Xenopus tropicalis: one gene and its partner. The protein of the gene in region 2 purifies or fractionates together with the protein of the main gene of each other region. This does not show direct contact. Links are inferred from orthologs where the notes say so. Each region holds a gene or a part of one and is shown on either strand. Other genes may lie near its edges. The genes, in order: pfdn1 and pfdn4.

The links.
Region 1: the proteins of pfdn4 (region 2) and pfdn1 purify together in Homo sapiens (affinity purification with mass spectrometry; 5 studies listed by BioGRID and IntAct, counting the BioPlex papers as one, with this or other methods). This does not show direct contact. The link is inferred for Xenopus tropicalis from reciprocal best matches to the Homo sapiens genes PFDN4 and PFDN1.

The regions. Positions count from the first base shown.
Region 1 is NC_030679.2:31,787,805-31,792,406, forward strand, and holds the start of pfdn1 (prefoldin subunit 1), read left to right. Parts: upstream 1-1,694; 5' UTR 1,695-1,791; coding exon 1,792-1,824; intron 1,825-3,053; coding exon 3,054-3,220; intron 3,221-4,602. UniProt on the Homo sapiens protein: Binds specifically to cytosolic chaperonin (c-CPN) and transfers target proteins to it. Binds to nascent polypeptide chain and promotes folding in an environment in which there are many competing pathways for nonnative proteins.
Region 2 is NC_030686.2:34,366,811-34,371,195, reverse strand, and holds the start of pfdn4 (prefoldin subunit 4), read left to right. Parts: upstream 1-1,395; 5' UTR 1,396-1,399; coding exon 1,400-1,411; intron 1,412-4,210; coding exon 4,211-4,318; intron 4,319-4,385. UniProt on the Homo sapiens protein: Binds specifically to cytosolic chaperonin (c-CPN) and transfers target proteins to it. Binds to nascent polypeptide chain and promotes folding in an environment in which there are many competing pathways for nonnative proteins.

The DNA of each region.
Region 1 (4,602 bases), on a different chromosome or scaffold from region 2:
CCCTCCAAGCTATGCTCTTGTGCACATGCACACAAATTTTGAGGCCAGCGCACACAATTGTGGTACACACAAGGAATTTTGTGTAAAAACACATAATATTGTACTGAGCACACAAGTCTTTTAAAGGAGAACTAAACCCTAAAAATGAATATGGCTAGAAATGCCATATATTGTATAATAAAATGACTGCACTGGCTTAAAGTTTCAGCATTGCTATAGTAGTAATGACAAAAGTCTTTACAGTTGTCACAGGAGCTCCCCATCTTGGATTCTGTTAGAACTGTCCGGGACGGCGCACATGCTCAGTTGGCTCTGAGCAGCTAAGCTTAGGGATTGTTGCAAAATATCAAGCAGAAAATGAGTGTTGTCTTTCATATAAACTGATGCTACAGGGCTAATTATTCAATTTTGATGCAATTGCCCTGGTTTCAGATCTGTCATGTAATGTAAATGAATTACTAATCAGCCTTTCACTGTTACATTTATATTCTGTATATACAGTATATTGTGAGTGGGTCCCTAAGCTCAAGTAAGTGACTGCAACACAGAGCATGTGCAGGGAATCAGCAGAAAAGAAGATGGGGGGGGGGCTACTGGAGGGCATCTTTGGGGGCACAGATCTTCCCTGCAAAAGGGCTGTTTGTGCCTTGGGCTGGTACAGAAACCCATAACATAATTCACAAAATTTCAGCCCTACTTCTTTGTTAAAAAGTGTGCACAAAAGAAATTATTTGTGTACCCTGCCAAGAAGAAATTGGTTTAAGGGCACTGCTGTATGGGGCAGATTCTGCAGTTAACTTGCAGGCCGAGAATCTGCTGTGTGGCAGTGCCCTAAAAATCCCACTGGCATGTTGATGAGGCCTACATGGGTGCCAATTATGTTTATGGCCCTAGGGAAAAAGTGGCTGTTTAGTTCAAAACTAGACAGGTGTCAACCCCCAAGTGCACTGACAAGTGATTCCTGTGTTAGTCCATTCAGTGGTCATCTTTAGTGTTTTACCAGCTGCTAGGGCTGTCCAGTGCAGCCGTAAGCACCAGACTTCTGACCTCGCCCCCCTCGTATACAGCTACACTTTTTTTCTTTTTAATATAGGCACCCCTAGCGCTGCCCTACATAAATATGGCCCATGCACCCATGAGCTAAATCATGCACAGGGGATCTTGTCTGAGCAAGATCACCTTCAGGCTGGGCTTTTAGAACTATCTCCCAAAATAAGAAATATTTCTTTAACGTTGCCCCATTTTCAGCCATGATTTCAATTTATGGCGTTTGTAACTGCTTACAAAATACAGTCTAATTCAAGATTCCAGAAACATATGGGATAAACAGTCTAGAAACTCATAACAATCCTATTGGGTGCGAATCGAATTACAACCCTTCCCCATATATTTCTACATATAACTCCCCAGCCACTGTGTCACTGCCGGTTTAACACGTTGTGTGTAAATCACGCACACATATTTGTTTATATGTTACATCACACGTTACACCCTTGGTTCACTCTACACAAAACATAACTTCTGTGGCAAAACAAACTACTAGCAACCATGGCTCAAATATCTTTAAACAGTAAGAGCTCTCGCTGCTAAGCCACAACTCAACCAATCCTCCAGCAACTATACGCTGGGCGTTTCCCAAGAACGCCCACCAATGCGCCCAGCTTCACCTTAGCAGCTGCCAATTGGAATTGCCAGTAAAGCACCAAGAGCCAATCACAAGGCTGCTTGCGATGACGGCGGTATAGCGTATGGTTTCCTCGCCGCCGCGTTGCGCATGTGCCCGGCTTTAATATGGCTACCCCTGTGGATCTAGAGCTGAAGAAGGTAATAATAATTGTATTTCATTTATACTAATGATTTTTATCATGTACGTGTTTTCATGTAAGTGTATGTTTATATAAGAATTCAGATGCTGGTGAATTCACGGTGCCTGCAGGATGAATGTGCTTTTGGCTGGAGTGCGGCCAGGCAGCTAGTGCATACGCTCGGTGGAATGCGAATGTAGTCGTTTTTGTATTTCTAGTAGGGAACTGTATTTGTAGTAAAGAATTTTGATATCATTTGATTTGTGTGTGTGTATATATATATATATATATATATATATATATATATATATATATATATATATATATATATATATACATATATATACATATACATATACATATACATACACACACATACATACATACATACATACTCACACTCTATAAACCCATAGTTCTATAAACGAACACTTGTTTTTTTCCAAATACATAAAGAAGGGAAATTTAATAAAGTATATTTACTATTAATGTAAGATTCATCCTTTTGGAAGGCACTATCTCCCAGTGCATTGTTTATTTGCAATTAAAACAGTCTTTAGAACGCAAAAACATTGCTGTTAAATCTTTGCTTACACCTAAAATTTGGGGGCTTAAGTGTTTAGTAAGATTGGAGATAAATATCACTGGTGATGTTGCCCATAGCAACCAATCAGATATTTGATTTTCATTTCTAACTTGTAGGTGACTGTTCAAATCTAATTCCTGATTGGTTGCTATGGGCAACATAGCCAGTGATATTTATCTCCAATCTTACTAAACATGCCCCTGTGTCCTACATCTGTGGTTTGCTTGACAGACTTTTTCAGTTCAAGCCCACCTTGGAGCCCAGTTAGTTCATAACAAGGTGTATGGAAATGTTGTATCAGCTATTCAGGAAGGGCTCCCGGAATACCCATTTTCACACCAAATTTCTCTCTAACTGAGCTTCTCGCTGGGTTTTTAGAAAAATAGGCCCTCAAGTGGGCCATACAGGGGCCCATTCAGACCAAGTTGACAACATATCAGCCTGTTTATGAGTAATGTGAGACTGCTTGACTGACATTTGCAAAGGATGCACTTTTACAAGCAGAGTAGTTTAAAAACTGGATAGTTTCTAAAATATTAAAAATATTACCTGCTTACACAATCTTGGGTGAAACTCAGATGTAGAGATTGGCAGTGGCTAGAAAGCATTAGCGAGGACAGCACTTAGATACAAATTGTTTAAAACCATGTTTTGTATTGCAGGCTTTCACAGAGCTTCAAGCCAAAGTTATTGATACCCAGCAGAAAGTTAAACTTGCAGATCTACAAATTGAGCAGCTAAATAGAACAAAGAAGCATGCATATCTTACCAATGCAGAAATTATGAACCTGTCTGATTCAACGCCTATGTATGAAGGAGTAGGAAGAATGTAAGTAATGCTGTTTTGCTTTAATCATACAGTCATGCATTAACTTGTCTTTTTAAGTGTAAATTGTAAAGAAAAGTAGACCTTCGGCCCACTCTCCCCTTCTCTGTTCACTCAATTTCTTTAATCTCTTAATTACGCAGTTTTACATAATATTATCTATCCTTTCCTCCATTTCTTCAGTTTCTTTTCATATAGGATTGAGTAATGGCCATGGTATACGCATACAAGGCAAATGGTTGGGTGAGCAGGAGGGCCCACTGACACTTGGGCCACCGGGAGTTTTCCTTGTATCCTGGTGGGCCAGTCAGACACTGCACAGACCTACCGATCCCTTCGAGGGCCAAAAGACAGAAAAAATACAAGGGACCATATACTCTATGGATGCCTTTCTGTTGTTCCTTGTATTCATAGGGAATGAAGGGAACAGTTCCTCATCTTCCATACACAGGCTGTAATGGGTTCTTAGCAGGTTACATATTTATACCCACCCAAATGACAAACCAATCAAAGTACATGGATATAGGCTGCCACGCACATACTGAAAATCGTTAACTGTGTTCCTATGTAATCCCCATTTGACTGTGCCAATGACTGTATTTATAGACTGGCTATTGTTAAAAACCAAGAACTTTTTGGTTTTCTTACATAACCATTGCTGTGGAGAATAGAAAGTACTTATTCATAGGCGAATGATTCAATATTAACACATTTCTAAAGGTGGAAAGCATTAAAGGCCAAAAAAAATGCATTAGTATTTCAGATGCTTTAAATGTTCCGTATGCCTTTAGAACAGAAAGTCTACATTTAGGAGGGCGTTATAGTCACTAGTATAAGTGGAACTTTATAGTTTAGGTAATCCATTGATCTCAGGGAACATGCTTATCTGCAGCTGGGAAGTCCATATATATTAAAATTTAGTTGAATGCGCTTGAATGCACTTGTGCAATAGCCCTCTACAGAGGGTTCTGAACAGCAACTTCATTGGAATAGGCCATACATAGGCAGATTTAAGTCAAGCACCAGCCTAGGGCACAGAACTCTTTTGTTTGTCTGTTTCCCCTTACTTCGGGCCCCAGTTGACTGGGAGAACTGCCAGAAGTCAGAGAGAGCAGCCGCTATTTTGCACTCGCTCGGGGGGGGAGTGGGTGCAGTATAGCCGTCGCTTACTCTTCCAGTCAGTGTGCGCTCGTTACAGGAGGGGTGGGCACGGAGCAGTGCGAGCTGGGGGGGGGGGGGGGCAAAGTTCTAAATTCGCCTGTCATTGATTTAAGCTCCTCAGTCAGTCCCTTCAGACCGATTTGGCAGCTTATCTGCTTGTATATGGTGCCCTCATATGGGCCAACCTGACCGATATGTGGCAGAAAATCGGGAAGTTTTTGATC
Region 2 (4,385 bases):
AATATCAGGGAAAGTGATTCCAGAATGAAGTCAATAATATTGTTTTACTCTAAGCTATATTGTTATAATCAAGCAGAAAATATGATCAAGTATATGATCTAGGAATAATGTACCCCCCTAGTGTAAATGATAAGGATATTAGAAGTCACTGAGGGGTTCTGTGACCATATAAAGGTACAACACTGCAGGCTGAGTTATACAGGGAACTCTGAGTATCACTCATGTATTATAAGGGATAATGTACCCCCTACTGTAAATGATAAGGATATTAGAAGTCACTGAGGGGTTCTGTGCCCATATAAAGGCACAAGGCTGCAGGCTGAGTTATACAGGGAACTCTGAGTATCACTCATGTATTATAAGGGATAATGTACCCCCTACTGTAAATGATAAGGATATTAGCAGTCACTGAGGGGTTCTGTGACCATATAAAGGCACAAGGCTGCAGACTCAGGGTTTTTATGTGTTTTTATTAAAAACTTCACAAAAGAGAATTAACAGAACTCAGACCAACATGCCGGCCAATAATTACAAGTTACAACCAAAATTCACCCCCCCCCCCAGTCCACTGGCCAAATGTCCCGATGAAGATCGTGACATATGGAGGGGGCAATTGTCCTTATAGTACAGACATTAAACTTGATAAGATAAACCATATACAATGATGCTACACAATATTTTGCACGTTGGTTTTTGTAGTACAGGTATGGGATCCCTTATCCGGAAACCCGTTATCCAGAAAGCTCCGAATTACGGAAAGACCGTCGCCTATAGACTCCATTTCAATCAAATAATTCAGAATTTTAAAACTGATTTCCTTTTTCTCTGTAGTAATAAAACAGTACTTTGTAACTGATCCCAGCTAAGATATAAATAATCATTATTGGATGAAAAACAATCCCATAGGGTTTAATTAATGTTTTATTGATTCTTTAGTAGACTTAAGGCATGGAGATCCAAATTACAGAAAGACCCCTTATCCGGAATACCCTTGGTCCCGAGCATTCTGGATAACGGGTCCTATACCTGTACTATAACACCCGGAGAACAGTTCAATAACTGATACTAAGCACTTCGCCCAGTTTATCACGCCAGTCACTCAGGATCCCATCCTCTTGCACCATCTAGTGGCCATTTAGCGCGTCGCACACTTCCTGCTCTCGCTGTCAAGTTGGATTCTGCGTAAGTTGGACTGTACCATTGCGTAAAATGCAGATGACCGTATTACAATCGTTATGTGTTGTGATATTGCAAGCGCCACGAATTTAAGGCTTGATTGTGCGATCGTTCTCTGACCCGGTACTTCTTTTTCACTGGTTAGCTTTATTAAGTAAGAGCAGGTTGCGTTACGCTCCTCCCCCCGCCCGGTAGTTGGTTCTATCCCAAGATGGCGGCCACCATGAAGAAAGCGGTAATGCTGCATGTTGCGGCGGGCGTGGGGGAATTTGGGGGTGTTACAGGGAATATCGGTAACTGGGTGCGATACAAAGGTGGTGCTGGATGGGGGGAAATCGCCATGGGAGAATAGGGGGCATTAGGCAAATGATTGGGGTGTAATAGGATACATTCTGTAAAGAAATAATTAAGGGATGTGCTGCAGACTGTGCTGCTTTCTGTGTTGCCATGCCAAATGAGCTATTCACAGGGGGATTATTAGGGGTGAGGGGCCAGCCTTACACTGGGCATGTGTCAAACGGCCAACTCTCTTAGTCTGCAGTACAGATATAGCTCTGCCTGATTAGGCCACCCCTATAGGCTTCTTTAATGGTTTGATCCTTGGGCCAGTAATTATTATAAGGGCCTGTGTACTTCTGTTAGGCCATCATGTCTGTCAGGATTCTATTAAACCTTCCCAACAGCAGATCCTCAGTCACATATAGTTTGGGCCTTCATAGTCTGTCCAGTAAGTCACTGATACAACCCTGAGCGCTTGAGCTGTAATTGTAGTGTGTAGGTAGAATTGTACAGGTATAGGACCCATTATCCAGAATGCTCAGGACCAAGGGTATTCCGGATAAGGGGTCGTACATTGGATCTCCATACCTTAAGTCTACTAAAAATCAATTAAACATTAATTAAACCTAATGGGATTGTTTTGCCCCCAATAAGGATGAATTATATCTTAGTTGGGATCAAGTACAGGTACTGTTTTATTATTACAGAGAAAAGGGAATCATTTAACCATGAAATAAACCCAATAGGGCTGTTCTGCCCCCAATAAGGGGTAATTATATCTTAGTTGGGATCAAGTACAGGTACTGTTTTATTATTACAGAGAAAAGGGAATCATTTAACCATTAAATAAACCCAATAGGACTGTTCTGCCCCCAATAAGGGGTAATTATATCTTAGTTGGGATCAAGTACAGGTACTGTTTTATTATTACAGAGAAAAGGGAATCATTTAACCATTAAATAAACCCAATAGGGCTGTTCTGCCCCCAATAAGGGGTAATTATATCTTAGTTGGGATTAATTACAAGGTACTGTTTTATTATTACAGAGAAAAAGGAAATCAGTTTTAAAATTCTGAATTATTTGATGAAAATGGAGTCTATGGGAGACGGGCTTTCCGTAATCCGGGGCTTTCTGGATAATGGGTTTCCGGATAAGGGATCATCTCATACCTTTATTTCTATTTATTATTTTTATTTCCAGTTTAACTGCAGATATTTACTAGAGTTGCTGGTCAGTGCTTGGAGTTGTAGGACTAATCAGCTCTGTGAATAATAGGAGTAATGGTTTCAGGCCTAAGAGAATAGAAATGTGAGTATCATTTGCCAGGGGGAATGATTTAATTGCCTTGTTTTATTCATGTGGACCCTCTGTGTCCTGCCCCCTGGGGTTCTCTGCTGTGGGCATAAACAGGGCATGGGGGCTTTCATGCTGGCAGGTGTATTCATTATTAATAACAGGTATGATCATAGCTTATGTGACCCACCCACCACTAATACAGATTATATAGAAATGCTGGCTGAAATAGGAGTTAGAGAGCTTCCAGTCTAAAAGGGGAAGGGGGTGTGAGACAAATGATGTGGGAATGGCTCACATTGTTGGGGCTGGGATTATACAGCGAGTTACGGTTACAAGTATCCACAGTTATATAAAAATTGACAGGCCTACCTCCTTTGCTGCCCTGCTGATTGTGTTTTAATTCGTTTCTGCCACTGGTCAGAAAGACCCTGGTTATTAGATCTCAAGCACTGACCTGAGCTGGAAACCAATACCCAACTGGAAGGAACCCAAACTGGCAGCACTCAAAATCAGCATCATAAGTGGAATATTAATGAGACCAGGAACACGGCAATGCCATGCTTATTGCCAGCTCCCCTTACTGTCTCACTATACCTGCCCATTGGGTGTGTCTGTTCCTGTGCTTGGAAATTAAATTAACTCTACAGGGGTGCTGGCTGCGATGTGAATGATTGTATATTCCCCAAAGTTACCCCACTTTAGTAATCCTGTGGCTATGACTCAAAGGCCAGCAGTGCATTATGATTTGGTTCACATTATTATATATATTTAATTCTATAGAAGCTTGCCCTGTATTGAGAGACAGATCAGCATTTGTGAGGCCACAAAGACCTAGGCCCAGGGCGGCACAAAATAAAACAAAACAGTGGGTGGGTGCGCACACGTGCTTATGGGGGACAAGGCCTATCAAGTTGCCGGGGGGTGGTGTGGCCTCGGGTTGCCCAGTTTAGAATCTGGCCCTGGTGAGGCAGCAGTTCATATAGTTGCTCTAGTGACTGAGGTTTTGCCAGCATTGAGATCCTATCCTTAATTTCCATTGTGGGGAAAAAATAAAGGAAAAAAGTCAATTGATTGAGACAGTGACAAGCAGCAAAATAACCTGTAGCAATTTGCCTTTTTAATGATGTCCTGAGAGGTCAGCTGGTTACAGTAACATCAGTAATTTGCTCCCGCTAAATGAATATGATTAATATAATTTTCGTTAATGAGGAAAACTCCTTAATGAGGCAGAATCCTTTGCTCTCGTCACTTAAGTCATCGCTAATGCTAATTTTATAAATAAATGGAATAGTCTCTATGGCAGTTATCAATACACAGACTGTCAGTAGATCCTCACACTGATACATACAGAGAAAAAAAGGCCTTTGTGCGTAGGCACCAGAACCATAGGTTTCCTACAGTCCTGAGTAGCGCCTCCCCTGTCTGGAGGGTAATGACTTGTCCTGTTTGCGTTCCAGGTTGCGGAAGATGTAAACGTTACATTCGAGGACCAACAAAAAATCAACATCTTCGCAAGAAATACAAACCGGGTCACAGAGCTGAAAGATGAAATCGAAGTAAAAAAGGTAATACAACAGCGAGATCTTTGCTTTTATTAAAGGGGAAGTGTTACTTGGCTTAAGCAACACCATG